Linked DNA regions of Tamandua tetradactyla. The protein of the gene in region 1 interacts with the protein of each later gene in a pairwise test. Links are inferred from orthologs where the notes say so. Each region holds a gene or a part of one and is shown on either strand. Other genes may lie near its edges.

Region 1 (7,417 bases):
CTGCACTACCAGCTCCTTGGAAGAGGTAGAGAAATGGGTGTGCAAGGTTGAATAAACAAAGATTTATCCTTATCCATGCTGGTTTCCACTCTCCCTCATGCCCCAAAAGCCTCAGGCTCTAGGTTAGAGATGGGATAAAGGGGGGTGTGTGGTGAAAAAAGCCCTCAGTACAGGGTAACTGCCTCCCCCACTCACAAACACACACAACCTTCCCTTGGTTCAGGAAAGACAGGCATGCAGAAGAAATAAGGATGAAGGCACACCTGCAAAGCGCCAACAGGGTTGCATTCAGACTGCTGAGGGGAGACAGGGGGCTGCACCTCCATGGACGGGCTCCTGAAGGAAAAAGGCCCAGGGCCAAAGCTGAGGAATATGGTTCCTTCTGCAACTGCCCATGATGCAGGTCCTAACCACTGCTTTAGTTTCTTTCACTATGTTCTCCCTATTCCCCACAAGGCAAGGCAAGCAGTGTCTGTCCAAACGTCTAGCCTTACACCCTCCTACTCTAACCTGTTTTCCCCCTCCCACCCAAGGGAAGCCTTCTCTATCTCCCAGCCCTATATAGATTCTGGTACGCTCAGGCATCATCTTACCAGGACGGGAAGAGGGGTGTATATTCAGTTCCCAGAAACACCTGATGGGACTCAAACATGGAGCTATCATGTAGCCAACCCCAGAAGAAACCCTTAAACGTGGTCCAACATCATCCACATGGCAATTTAAAAAATAATAAGTTACCTCCTGTCCCAAGAGCTTACCAGCTGGTGTAAACTCTTCAAGCTCTGGTTCCCAAATATTTCTTTGTTTACACTCAGACTTCCTCATGCCTGACCAGCCTAAGACCAAGGGTCAGGAGGCCGGGAGCCAGAAGCCCTTCCTCCCCACTTCAGGCAGTCAAGGGACACAAGATACCTTGTTGGGACAGCAGATGGAACAGGAGTTGCAGCAGCTGCAGCAGTGAAAACCAGAACGTCCTCAGGCAGTGAAGAGTCTAGGGGAGAAAAAGAACTTCCCGAGGGGAAGGGAGCCTTTGATTCACATCCATGTGTAGAAGAAATGGAGGGTGAAGGAAGATCCTCTTGACCTGCCCATCCCTTAGGAGAGCACCTTCCCACTTGAACCAAAGACTTGGGGAAGCTCAACCACCATCTTTCTCCTGTTAAAGACTAAATCAAAAGGACTGGGAAGGGGTACACAGATGGTTCAGTGATATAATTCTCGTCTGCCATGCAGGAGACCCAGGTTTGATTCCCAGACCATGCACCCAGGGAAGAAAAAAAAAAAGGACTGGGAAAAGGGGGAGAAGGATCCTGGGGGCAACAAACTCCAACCAGAGTGTGGAAGAGGGAAGGACATCTTGCTAAATAAGAGACAGGTTGGGGAGTAACTACCTCCAGCCTCAGCTTCCTCCCTTCTCCTTCCCTCACTGGGGTCCCAAACTAAGGCCACAACCTCTAATGAGGCTGGGCCACCACCCCACCCCACCCCCACCCAGAATCCTTCACAGCAGCAGAAACCCTGGAAACATTCTATTCGGGTTTAGAGAAAATTCTTATGAAGAAGCCAGGAGAGGATAGCCTACTGGGCAGAAGGGGTTGGGGCAGGGCGTCTAGGATGCCTCAGCTGTTCCTCCCTCACCTGCTGTCTTCCAGGGCCGGCTCCAGCATGCTCCCCCCTTTGAGGTGTTTGAGGGCCACCTCAGCTGCCTTGTGCTTGGCTGCCTTCTTGCTGGGGCCCTGACCTGAGAGAGGGGTGTGGGCAATACTGGAGGTCACTGAAAGGACAGAAAAGAAACCAGCATCCCACAACCTCTCTCCTCACAGCCAGAGGAAGTCAACCAAGCCCCTCTAACCAACCTTCCTATGCCCAAGATTGGAAGTGTTACACTAATTACTGGAAGGTAGGGCCCTACTCATCCATTAACTCCCAGACAGAAGTCAAACCTTGCCAAGCAGAACTTTTCCTGGGCTCAAACACCTTGAGTGGAGAGATCCTTTTTTCTGCCTTTCTTAACTCATGAAAGCCCTTTCTTTTCCCTCAAATCAAAATAGGTGGAAAAACAGAAAGAGGACAGGTTCTGGAGTCAAAACCCAGCTCTGCCACTGCTTAGGTATGTGATCTTGCACCAGTCATATTATCTCTCTTCTGAGCTTGTTTCCTCTTATATAACATGGTGATATTACCATCTACATCATGGGGTTAAGTGAAGTTTAAGATTAAATGGGTATGTGATTAAGCACCTGGGAATAAGAGGCACTCCCTCCCCCAGATCCTTATTGCAATTTAGGTTTATTTCCTCTTACATCTTCCTCAAGTGTGAGAGGAGTTGCCAGATCACTGTAGCAGTCCTATTCTCTCCAACTCTCCAAGTCCTATCCCACCTCTTTAAGCCCTGTTCTCCCAAGCCACTCAGTAACTTCTCGCCTCAAATCTCTCCTTTCACTAGCCTTGGAGAAGAGGACTGGGAAGTGACTCCAAGAAACAAAGCCATGGGGCCCTATAAATGCACACCCCAGCCAGGCCGCCCAAGTCTTCCTCACCAGTGCAGCTGGTGTCGCCAACGGTGACCCGGAAGGTGAAATTAGGCTGGTGAGCTTGGCCCTCGGCTTTGAGAAGGTCGTACACGGGTGTCTTCCCTATTCTGGTCCCATACTCCTGCAGAAGGCTGATCGGGGTCTTGCCCGGGTTGGCTGCCAGCATTTGCTCTATACTGGAGGGAGGCGCACAGACCCGTATCACATCTTCCCTCCCTCCACCCACCTGGCCAAGCACTGCCATACCAAACCCAGGTACATTATGGGGGCACAGGGTCCAGAGAACCCTGTGCAATACGGCAACCGTTGGCTGAGTTCAATAAAAAGTAGAGGTGCAGGCTGGGAAAGCAGAGTTCACTTCCCCACGGTAGGAGGGGGATGCACTGTTCCTGTCTCAGTTAAGGCGGGAGATCTTGTACCCCAGCGAAGGCTGGAAGTGCATGTCCCCTGCCACAGTGCAGGCCAGGAACCCAGTACCCACCAAATGCACTGAATGTCGGGAGCACAATGCCCAGTGCCCCAGTGCAGTCTGGGAACCAAGCCAACACCAAACTATTTAGACCTGGAGGTAGTGGCCACTGCCCCGGTGCACGCCGGTAACCGCTGCTCACTGCCCCAGTGCTTACCGGGAACAACCCTCAGGCCAGGTGCATGCTGGGGCCGCGCGGCTACCCCCTCCGCACCGCGCCAGTCTTTTCATCCTGTAGGGATCGGTACAAGGTGACTTACCTGGGCAGCCCGCAGCCCGTGGTAGTGCCGGAGCCCTGCTCCTCTTCACTCATTCCCTCCTCCGTCCCCGCGGGCTCCACTATAGCTACAGCCTCCACGCGCCCCAATACACCGCTGACAAGCTAGGGCCGGGGCCAAGCCCGGAGTCGCGGCCGGTAGGGCCCGCCGCAGGGCATGCTGGGACTTGAAGTCCCCCCGCCCATCCTACTCCATGCGTCTCCATAAGGAGGGCAGCTATCCACCCACAACCCTTCGCGTGGTTTGCCCTGGCAGGCTGCACCGCCTTCTGGGAGGAGCTGTTTCCTCCGCTGTCGCTTCCCGAGCTGAGTTTTGTTTGTTTGTTTGTTTTTGTTTTTTATTGTCCCGCCTCCTATCTTCCGCGCCTCCTCTCCCATACACCTTGAGGTTTTGGACATGCGCACCAGCTGAGTAGAAGGAGCTGGGGGCCGGGCGGTAAGAGCTAACTTGAAAACCCGAGTCTTTTCAATTCCGAAAACTACAGAACCCAGGAACTTCTGCGCCATCTTTGTCGCAACTGGAGGGGCAGGTTCTACACGCACTAGAAGCTTCGCCGCGTAATTGGTTATTCCCAGTTGCGTTCCCCCCACAGACGGATTGAGATTGGTTACTTTTCCTAGAGGGGTGGGGACATGGCCAGAGCCGGGCCCCTTGACCTCGCGTTTTCTTGAGGAAAGGCAATGATTGGTCCGGGGATAAGGGTGCTGTCTGTTGCTGGCTTTTTGCGGTCTGGAGGGTGGGTTTTGCCTGGACGTCGGGTGGGGGCTGCTCTCTGCTCCCTACGCACCCGAGAAGCTGAGGAAGTTGTAGTACAAGTTCCTCTAAGACTTTCTCTCCTCAGCGCCTCGGCCTAAAACTCTGGCCCATGGGCCTTCGTCTCGCAGAACCTGTTTCCTTTCCCTGGGTTTGTCCTTCAGCTCACTTCTTCAGTTTAGTTCTGTCCACAGTATATGGAGCTTCGCTTTTCTTCCAAAGCCTTTTTAGAACGGTCCTAGTGAGGCTGTCTCTAACTGGCCGGGAAAACCCTTCTGGGGCCTGTGAATCGGGCTGTAGTGGGATGACACCTGGTGGTCTCACTCCCTCTGCCGGGACTTGGGTCTCTCAGATGAAGGAAAGCAAAAGAGGAATCTAGCTTCTTAAAACCAATCGACTAATCTGGATACACAGCAGAACCCAAAATTTTGAATTCCAGAGCCCCGTTCTCCCCTTCCCAAAGTCTCAAAACCACTGGACTGATAGGTATAGGGAAAATCTTGTGACCTTGGAGAGAAAGAGCACCCCAAAATAAATAAATAGGCTCTGAGTGTTCTGGGAATAAGTCAGGAAAGAGATGTCTTGATTTGAGCAGGGTTGGAGGTCCAGAGTAAACTTGGAATGGTAATGAGAAGTCATCTGGGAATACTGGAGGAGTACCGGGCCTAGAACTGAGGCGCGCAGAGTTGGGTGGAATCGGATTTGCGTCAATTAAGAAAAGGAGAGCCGGGGTAACTACCCCATAACTCTGGCCCCACCTAAGGGGTTACTGTTTCTGTTTTCGACTATAGGAGGGAGTTAACAGGAGGCTCCCACAGAATCAGCATCAAGCCCAGGGTGCGACGGCCCTACCATACCATCAGCCAGAAGGCGCGGGGCCCAGAAGAGCCGGGGATGAGCCTGGAGCGCGCCGGATGGCAACAGCGGGCTCCTTTAAGAGGCCGGCGGCTCCAGCGCAGCATCCCCCGCTCAGGGCGTGTCCGTCCCGGGGGGCCAGGGGCGGGGGCCCTAGAAGGAGCGGGAGTTCGAGCCGAGTGGGGACGGGGCTAGGGTCGGGGGGTGGGGGCACAAAGCTGGGGCTGACATCCGTGCACCGTACGAGCATCGCCTGTGACAGCGCCCCGGGCCCGGTCGAGGGCAGCGGGGGGAGGAGGGAAGGAGGAGGAGAAGGAGGAGGAGGCGGGAGCAGCATCCGGAGCAGAGCTGCAGCAGCGCCGCCTTTTGTGCTGCGGCCGCCGAGCCCCCGAGGTGAGAGCCTGGCCGAGTTATGGGGGGTAGGGGGCAGGGATGGGATAGGGTTCTGGGATCCGGGTGCAAAGGGAGGGTGGAAATGCAGATGTGGCGGGGCAGGGGTGGGGTAGGGGGTGAGAGCCATGGCGCGGGGATGCTGAGGCTGTGGGAATGGAGGGACCGGGGGCCTGTACCCGACGCCTGTGTGGTTGGGAAGAAGGGGGTCCGAGCGGAGCGTCACGGCAGGCCCAGCTTGGAGACCAAAGGCTTCATGAGCTATAATGGACTATATGGTGGAGGGGTGGGGTGAGAAATGATTGTGGGACAGACTTAAAGGACAGTGGGCAAGAGAACATCCTTCTCTCCTCCCACTCATCTTCAGGAAGGGAGAGAGGAAAAGAGGAGGGTGAGTTTGGGACCCTGCTGAGAAGGAAAGGAAGGTTAAAGCCCCATGTACCCACTGCCCTCCTTTACCCCCCGCTGGTCCCTACACACACACTTGGCTTGGACTAAGTGTGTGGTAGGCAGAGAGCACCTGTTCCTGGATGCCCAGGCATTGGTCCCCAATCCCCTCCAGCTGTGGCATTCATCTTCTCTTCTCCATCCAGATGTTGAATCCTCCCCTCCCCCATCCATATGTGGCTTTTTCCCCTCCTCCTCTTCCCCATCTCCTCTGGCTCCCTAACCTATCTCCAGGCCCACCCTTCCTTTTCCCACACTCTCCTCAAACTCTTTGGCTTAAATATAAGTAAGAATCCTTTCCATAGAGTTGAAACTCCGGATATCCATGGCCTTGGTTGAGGGGAGGTAAGAGAAGCAGTCAGTGGCTCTATAGACGGGGGAGGAAATATGAAATAGTGGGTGTCCCTTAGAACTGAGGAAGGTATCCACTTTTTATCTCAGATATCTGGTACCTCTTGGGAGGAGGTTGGGTGGGTAGCCTCCAACAAGGAGGGAATACACATAAGATCACTACACCCAAACTCCTCTCAGGACACAGTCAATGACTTCCTCAAAACACCATTGCCCTTCCAATTCCAATAACTCTGGGAGCATGAGCATCATTCCAAACGTCTTATCAACCAGAGGCCAAAAGAAGGAGTTGGAAGGATGGGGCCCAAGTGCCCCCTGGGCCTCCCTGCCTAGAAAGTGAAGTTCCTCTTGTCTTTAGGGCCCTGCTACCTCCTATCCCACATTTAAAGGTGAAAAACAGTGTCTGTCCTCTCAAGAAAACCACTCACTCATTCACTCACATTGGGGACTAAGGTGATACAGGGAAGAACGCTGTTCTGATACCCCAACTCCCAGCACAACATGGGAATACACAGCTAAATATCTGTCCCCTGATTAAACTCAGTTATGGGCAGAAGAGGCAGGGAGCCTAAGTAAGAAAGTGTCTGAGGATTTCCCAGGCCTCCTTATAGCTGAGAATGGCTGAACCCCTCAGAAAACCAATTGCCTAATGGATGGTGCTGATGGTAGTACAGCGTTGTGAATGTAGTTAACACTAGTGAATTGTATATTTGAATGTTGTTAAAAGGGGAAGTTTTAGGTTGTGTATCTAAATATACTATAATATTTTTACTATAATAAAAACAAACAAACAAAAACAGTTGCTGTTCCCTAGTCCTTCCCCTGGTGGTGATAATGTGGTAGAGTATGGCTTTGCCAAGAAGAGGACCCTAAGTTCTAGTACCCCCCATCCTAGGCACTCCTAGTGGCTCATCCTATGCACTGCCTCTCCACTGCACGGGTCTGGGAAGAAAGAAAGGCTAAGGGAATCGACCCCTACAGGAGGAATGAACTGAAGTGATGCCAACAGGAAACCTAGAGGCTTCCTGAGGGTGAGGGGTTAGCCACAGATTGGTCTGTCTGGTTCATTTGCTCCCAGAAGGAGTAGGGTCATATGTGTTTTGAAGGAAGGGGCAAGGAGAGGCAATAACACTATTCCAGAGGAGAAGGCTCTTGGGGATGAAGCGTCTCGCCCTTTGCTTTCTGTTTTCTTTGCTCTCCTTTTTTTCTCCTTCTTGCTTCTCTGCTTCCCTTTCTATTTGTACTCAACCTACTACCTCTTGCTTTGAGGAGGGAAAAGGAAAGAATGGAAGGGAACTCAACATTTATAAAGAACCCACTGTTACTTGTTTGGCAGTTTT
Region 2 (7,233 bases), on another chromosome or scaffold:
TGATTCATCAGTTCTACTCCCAGAAACATACCCAACAGAAATATAAACATATGTCCACAAAAACATTTGCACACAAATGTTCATAACAGCATAATTCCTAAGAGCCCCAAACTGGAAATAATTCAAATGTCCATCAACTGAGCAATGGATAAATGAAATGTGGTACATCCAGGTGATGGAATTCTATTCAGCAATAAAAAGGAATGAAGTATACTAATACACGCTACAACTTACATGAACCTCAAAAATATGCTAAGTGAAAGAAGCCAGATGTAAAAGACTACATGTTGTACGACTTCATTTACATGAAGTATCTACAAAAGGCAAATTTATAGAGCCATAAAACATCAATGAGTGCATAGTGCAGGAGATGGGGTTTACTACAAATGAGCATAAAGTAACATAAAGGATAATAGAAAGTTCTAAAACTGGATTGTGGCCATGGTTACACAACTATACCTTTACTAAAAATATTGAATTGTACACTTACACTGGGAAAATTTTCTGGTTTGCAAATTATAACTCAATAAAGCTGTTAAAAAAAAAATGACCAAACTGAGTAGAGCTTGGTGTTACAGGTATTTATCTGGACCGCATATAAATATGGGAGACCTGAGTAGATTAGGAAAACGAACTGGTTTGTTACACTGTATACTCACACACACATATACAGTTTACTTTTTGGAGCACAGCTGCTGTGTTCTCCACGCTTTAAGGTTCAGGGCCTTCCTTCCCTTTCTTCCTAGGCTAAAGATCACTTTTTCTTTGTGCATCCCCAACTCCTAGACATTCCTCTTCACTGCACCTATTATCTACACTGAAATTGCTGTTTCCTGGACCTCACTGCAAGCTCCTCCAGGACAAGACCGTACCTTCCTCATCTCTGTAGCTCTGAGCTCAGCCAGTCCTTGCAAGACAGCAGACATCAGAGAATGTTTGTCAAATTAATGAAAGAAAAGGTGGGCGGGGATTAGTTGGTACTAAAAATGTTTGAAAGATGAGTGAGACAGGAGGCCCAGAAATAATATACATATTAATCCAGGAGTCAGACTAGACTTCTTTTTAAACTGGTGAAGTACACACCAGGGTACAGATTGTGCAGCACCCCAAATTTAAACATCCTCTACCTTGGATGTGGTCAAAAATTCAATTTTATATCAGGGCAATCAGTTCACAAACAGCAAAATTAGCTTGCTGAGCAAGCAAACAAATTATCAGAGAAACCCGATTTCCCTGCACATGCCTGACAGGATGAGCACAGCAGCCTAGAATGTTTTTGTATGTTTGGGCTTCAGCTACCTTGCTAGCTCTGCAAAGAACTGTGAAGAGGTCACACAGCCAGGCCTGGCTAGCGCTAAGTCCTCTTTCCATCTCCCATTTAATTTCAGCTGCTAGGTCAAACGCAGAGCCAAATAGTAAGGATCAACTTAGAGGTGACCCCCAAGCTGGCCTGGTGTATATTCTTGTTCACCACTTTGGGTCAAGCATGGGGTACAAAGCAGCTGGAGCCAAAGCATACCCAGGCCAGTTGCTCAGGCTCCTGACCCCCATTTCCGTAAAGGCCAGACACCTAGAAACACGGGTAAGCTGGGCTCAGCCACCGAGGCCAAAAGGAACATGGGGGTAAGGTTGAAGGCTTTCAAAAGCCCTCAGAGGCGGGTTTGAGTCGAGGGAAGCCAGGTGAGAGAAGGAGCAGAGTAACTAGGGGTAGGGGAACCTGGTGCCAAGGGATGTGGGGAGTCAGGGGGAAACGGTGAGAGGTACTCGCCTCGGCTGCGCTTCTGGCGCGTTAAGGTCAGGGGCTCCATGACAGCGTGGATGGGGACCACAGTCCTCGAGCGTGGGAAGAGCTGCACTGGTGGGCGAGGAGGAAGGGACAAAACCTGGAGCTTGAATGTGAGGCCTTTGGCCTTTTGCGCGCGGGGACCTGCCACCTGGGTTGCGGAGACCTTGGCTTACGGGGTCCATATCCCTGATGTGGAACTCGAGCCCGGGAGTACCCGGGAGCGTCACGCCAGGGGGCGGGCCGGGCGCCAGGGGGTGTGACCGTGGACCGGAGGTCTGGCCTGCGGCCCCGCCCGGCGCTCCCGCCACGCCCTGCGGGCCGAGCAGGCAGGTCGGGGGGCTTCCTGCCTCCCAGGCCCCCGGACTCACCTTCCTCCCTCCCCACCGGTTGGGCCCCGGACACCGCTTCCCACAGGCGGCGCGCCCTCTCGCGGTCGAAGCGCACCCCGTCCGGCTCCCGGCCCTCCCGCTCTTCCGAGCTGTAGTACAGCCCGGCCCCTCCGCCGTCCGTAGCCTCCACGGTGCCCAACGCGGAATATTCCATCTTCCCCGCCAGCCCTAAGCGGCCGAGAGCCGCGCACGCGTCTTGGTCTCGCGAGATGTGGGACGGTAGCGACTTTACGCGGCCAACAAATCTCGCGAGGTTTAGGCGCTGCAGAGCGGTTAGCGGCGCCAACCTTGGAGTTTCTTTGGCTTTTATTCTCGGGCCTTGGGGCGTGTTCTGTGGTGGAGAAAACCGGTCGTCTGCGACGCCGCCGTTCTTTCCCTCCGAGACGAGCTCGTGGGGTCCGTGCCTCTGGGTTCTCACCTGTTCGTGGTCAAAGTTTGACACTAAGCATTTCGTTCTCACGAAGGCCGTGTTGTGTGAGAGTATTTCTCCCATTTTGCTGGTGGGGAAACCAAGGCCCAGTTCCAGAAAGTAGATTAGTTTAGTCTTCGCTGCTAGGAAGTCCTGAAGCCGGCGCTCCGTCTCCGCTGCTAGGAAGTCCTGAAGCCGGTCCTCCGTCTCCGCTGCTAGGAAGTCCTGAAGCCGGTGCTCCGTCTCCGCTGCTAGGAAGTCCTGAAGCCGGTCCTCCGTCTCCGCTGCTAGGAAGTCCTGAAGCCGGCGCTCCGTCTCCGCTGCTAGGAAGTCCTGAAGCCGGCGCTCCGTCTCCGCTGCTAGGAAGTCCTGAAGCCGGCGCTCCGTCTCCGCTGCTAGGAAGTCCGGAAGCCGGTCCTCCGTCTCCGCTGCTAGGAAGTCCGGAAGCCGGTCCTCCGTCTCCGCTGCTAGGAAGTCCTAAAGCCGGTCCTCCGTCTTCGCTGCTAGGAAGTCTTGAAGCCGGTGCTCCGTCTCCGTGATTCAATTACTGCTGATAATAGATCCCATTTGTGGAGTTCAGAGTGCCAACTCCTAGGGCCCAGACCTAGCCCTGAAGTCCAGAGCTGTATATCCAAGGTGCCGGCTTGACATTTCCGTTTGGGGAATTTAATAGGCTTCTTCAACATGACTGTCCAAACCCAAAATCTTTTTTTTTTAATTTTTAAAATTAATTTTTAAAAAAATATGACAAACACAAACATTCTTAACATACGATCATTCCGTTCTACATATGTAATCAGTAATTCACAATATCATCACATAGTTGCATATTCATCACCATGATCATTTCTTGGAACATTTGCATCTATTCAAAAAAAGAAATAAAAGGAAAACAGAAAAAAATTCATACATACCATACCCCCCACCCTCCCCCTCAAAGATCAGCAGTATTTCAATCTAAATTTATTCTAACATTTGTTCGCCTATTATTCATCTTTATTCCATATGTTTTACTCATCTGTTGATAAGGTAGATAAAAGGAGCATCAGACACAAGGTTTTCACAATCACAGTCACATTGTGAAAGCTGTATCATTATACAATCATCTTCACGATACATGGCTACTGGAACACAGCTCTACATTTTCAGGCAGTTTCCTCCAGCCTCTCCATTACATCTTGAATAACAAGGTGATATCTACTTAATGCGTAAGAATAACCTCCAGGATAACCTCTCAACTGTTTGGAATCTCTCAGCCAGTGACACTTTGTCTCATTTCACTCTTCCCCCTTTTGGTGGAGAAGGTTTTCTCAATCCCTTGATGCTGAGTCCCAGCTCATTCTAGGATTTCTGTCCCACGTTGCCAGGAAGGTCCACACCCCTGGGAGTCATGTCCCATGTAGACAGGGGGAGGGTGGTGAGTTTGCTTGTTGTGCTGGCTGAAGAGAGAGGCACATCTAAGCAGCTAAAGAGGTTCTTTTGGGGGTGACTCTTAGGCCTAATTTTAAGTAGGCTTGACCTATCCTTTGTGGGGTTAAGTTTCATATGAACAAACCCCCGGATTGGGACTCAGCCTATTGCTTTGGTTGTCCCCAGTGCTTGTGAGAAAATTAAGAATTCTCCACTTGGGGAAGTTGAACCCTTTCTTGCCAAGGGAACTTTGCAAATACTTTTTTACTCACTGTTCAAATCGCTCTGAGATTTATTGGAGCATAACTCTGGACAAACCTACAAAATCGTATGCCCTACTCCAGTTCCGTGTACTTATGCAAACCCAAAATCTTGCCTTCCAATCCCAGACTTGCCCCTACCCCATTCTTCTGGAGCCATCATTTCTTGTCTAGGTTATTGCTGTAGTCAAACTCAGTCGATTATTCCCTTTGCCTCTCAGGTATTCTGGTCAGTACTCTCAGGCATCCTCTTGTAACAAGCCACATCACAGCAAGACCGTGCTCAGATCATCCAGTGGCTTCCCATTTCGCTCTTTGTAAAATCCAAAGTCCTGACTTTGACCCACAAAGCCCCAGGCAATCTGACTTCCCTGAATTTCCTTGATTTCATCTCAGCCCCCACCTCCTTCCTTCCTGTTGTAGTGGCACTAGCCTTGTTGAATGCATTTTTTCCACAGATAACTGTTTGACTCAGTTCCTTCCTTCCTTCCCTAGCTACCCTGTCTAAACTTTTCCTGCTTTATTTTTTTTCTCCCAAACACTTATTAACTACAGTGCGTGTGTTAAATTTTATTTTGGTAGCATATAAATAACGTAAAACTTGACATTTTAACCATTCTCATGACACAATTCAGTGACTTTAATTACATTCACAATGTTGTGCTACCGTCGCCAACATTCATTACCAAAACTTTTCTGTCACACCAAGCAGAAACTCTGTACTCATTATGCAATAACTCCCCCTTGCCTCCTCTTCCAGCCAGCCCCTGGTAACTTCTAATTTACTTGTCTGTCTCTATGAATTTGCTTATTCTAGATATTTAATATGAGTGGAATCATACACTATTTACTTCATTCCATTTTATGGCAGAATAATAGGCCATTGTATGGACAGACCACATTTTGTTTATTCATCTGTTGATAGATACTTTTCTATTGTGAATAATGCTGTTATGGAACACTGGCATGCGAGTATCTATTTGAGTCCCTATTTTCAATTTTTTGGGCACATAACCTGGGAGTGGAATTACTGGATCATATGGTAATTCTATGCTTAACTTTTTTAGGTGCCACCAAACTTATTAGACATAGCATATATTTTATTTTTATCTTGTTTATTGTTTGTCTCCTCTTTAGAAGGTAAGCCCCAGGAAGGCAGATATTTTATTTTGTTATCATCCAGTCTTCAGTATGTTGAAACAAAGCCTGGCCCATAGTAGGTATATACAAAGTATTTGTTGAATCAAGTTTTTAACCTCATTTATTCAAATGTTTGTTGAGTGTTTATAATAAGCTAGGTGATGTTTTGAGCATTGGAATACTAGTGGAGGACAATGCAATAAACAAGTTAACAGGTAAAATCATTTTTAGATAGAAATAAGTGCTAAGGAAAAAATAAAACAGGGATAGAAATTAGGTGAATGATGTGGGAAGAACATTAGAAAGATTGTTTGGGGAAGCCTCTAAAAAAAAGACAATTGATCATTGACCTTATTGATAAAATGAGTTTGCAATGTAAAGAACTGGGAACAGTTCCAGGAAGAAGGAACAGCATGTGCAAAAGCCCTGAGGCAAGAGTGAGCTTGGTGTTTTGAAGGAAAGGAAAGGATGGCTGCAGTACAGAGAACAATGGGAAAGTAGCATCAGAGGAGGCCAAGGAGAGACAGATACAGATTATTCTCCTTGCCTGGTATCACACAGCTTGCCAATGGAATTTACTCAAATATTCTATAAATATTGTTCACAAGTTCTATATCAGGTTTCATGCCAGGCTCCAGAGCTCCCAAGGCAATAAATGAGTGAGGTTTGTGCAGTATTTTACAGTTTATAAAACACCTTTGACATAAAATATTTAATAATGGGGATGTTTTCCTATTGGGAATTATTTTCATATTTGACAAATGAGGAAATAGACTGGAAAAGGTGAAGGTTTTATCAGGGTCATACAACTAGTTAGTGACTGTGCTTGAGCACTGGTCCTCAGACTGCAAATCCGTGTTCTTTTGTTACACCCGAAGATCAGTGTATAAATAAATAAAAGTCAGTAACTATGTATTCCTATCTTAAAGGAGAGTTCTAACTACCCTTATTTGCACAGCACAAATTATTCAGCTAAAAAATGCTCAAAGGATAGAGGGTATTTTTGTTCAAGTCTTAGAACCCACAAGAGTATTTATATAGAACACTGTGAAGTAAATCTTGGGAGGGAAATATTTAAGTTGCTGTGCGTATTATTGGAAAACAATCTCCCTTCTCCCTGTCGCAATCCAATTAAATGCTCAAAATAATTTCCATTTATTCTCCAATGAATGCCTTCAGGGTTCGTCCTCTGTGCCCGTAGTTACAAAACTGAGTGTCTGAACAGATCTCACTGTCGCCTGTTTTCTGCTTTGTCCTTAATATAAGTGCCCACGTCTGGTCCCCTTGCTGGGACCTGACAGTACAGGTGATGCCTTGGTTTTGTCCGGCTGGCTTTTTACTTCTTCCCTGTGGAGGTGAGAACCATTTTCCAATATGCTCTACGGTGATTGTTGGTATGGGACATGAACAATCCCAAGGAAAAGGCTGTGCCACAGTTCCGCAGACATTTCAAATGAGTAAACACTGCCTCTGTGTGCATACATGCAAATTCATGCTCCACAGTTTAGTAAATTATAATTCCTGCTGTCAGGGAGATTAAACTCTTGTGAGAGAGAGAAAAGTATCCACTATTTACGTAATATCAGAGTGTGTGCTAGCTGCTGTAGTAGGGGTGACAACCTAGGCAGTGCAGATGGGGTGGGGCAATGAATCTGCAGTGTAGGACTCATGGAGGGTATCTGGGTTGCCCCATCTGAGGCTTTCTACTTAGCTCCAGGAACAACTTTCTCTAGTTGTTAGAGGTGGCCAAGGATTCGGTTTTACTAGTAGGACGTTGTGTTTGACTCTGAACCTGAGACTGATCCAAAACAGCAGGGGTACTCCTGAGGAAAACTGTAG

Evidence for each region. The genes of interacting proteins can lie anywhere in the genome.
Region 2: the proteins of TARBP2 (region 1) and ZNF346 interact in binary tests that used the Homo sapiens proteins (3 or more experiments, as listed by UniProt). The two-hybrid records come from large-scale screens. The link is inferred for Tamandua tetradactyla from reciprocal best matches to the Homo sapiens genes TARBP2 and ZNF346.

What each region holds. Positions count from the first base shown.
Region 1 is NC_135333.1:114,947,815-114,955,231, reverse strand, and holds the start of TARBP2 (RISC-loading complex subunit TARBP2), read right to left. Parts: upstream 3,010-7,417; 5' UTR 2,779-3,009; coding exon 2,541-2,778; intron 1,775-2,540; coding exon 1,639-1,774; intron 1,009-1,638; coding exon 913-1,008; intron 581-912; exon of another isoform or gene 337-580; coding exon 264-336; exon of another isoform or gene 16-263; coding exon 1-15. UniProt on the Homo sapiens protein: Required for formation of the RNA induced silencing complex (RISC). Component of the RISC loading complex (RLC), also known as the micro-RNA (miRNA) loading complex (miRLC), which is composed of DICER1, AGO2 and TARBP2.
Region 2 is NC_135346.1:58,692,346-58,699,578, reverse strand, and holds the start of ZNF346 (zinc finger protein 346), read right to left. Parts: upstream 3,001-7,233; 5' UTR 2,669-3,000; coding exon 2,155-2,668; intron 1,856-2,154; coding exon 1,769-1,855; intron 1-1,768.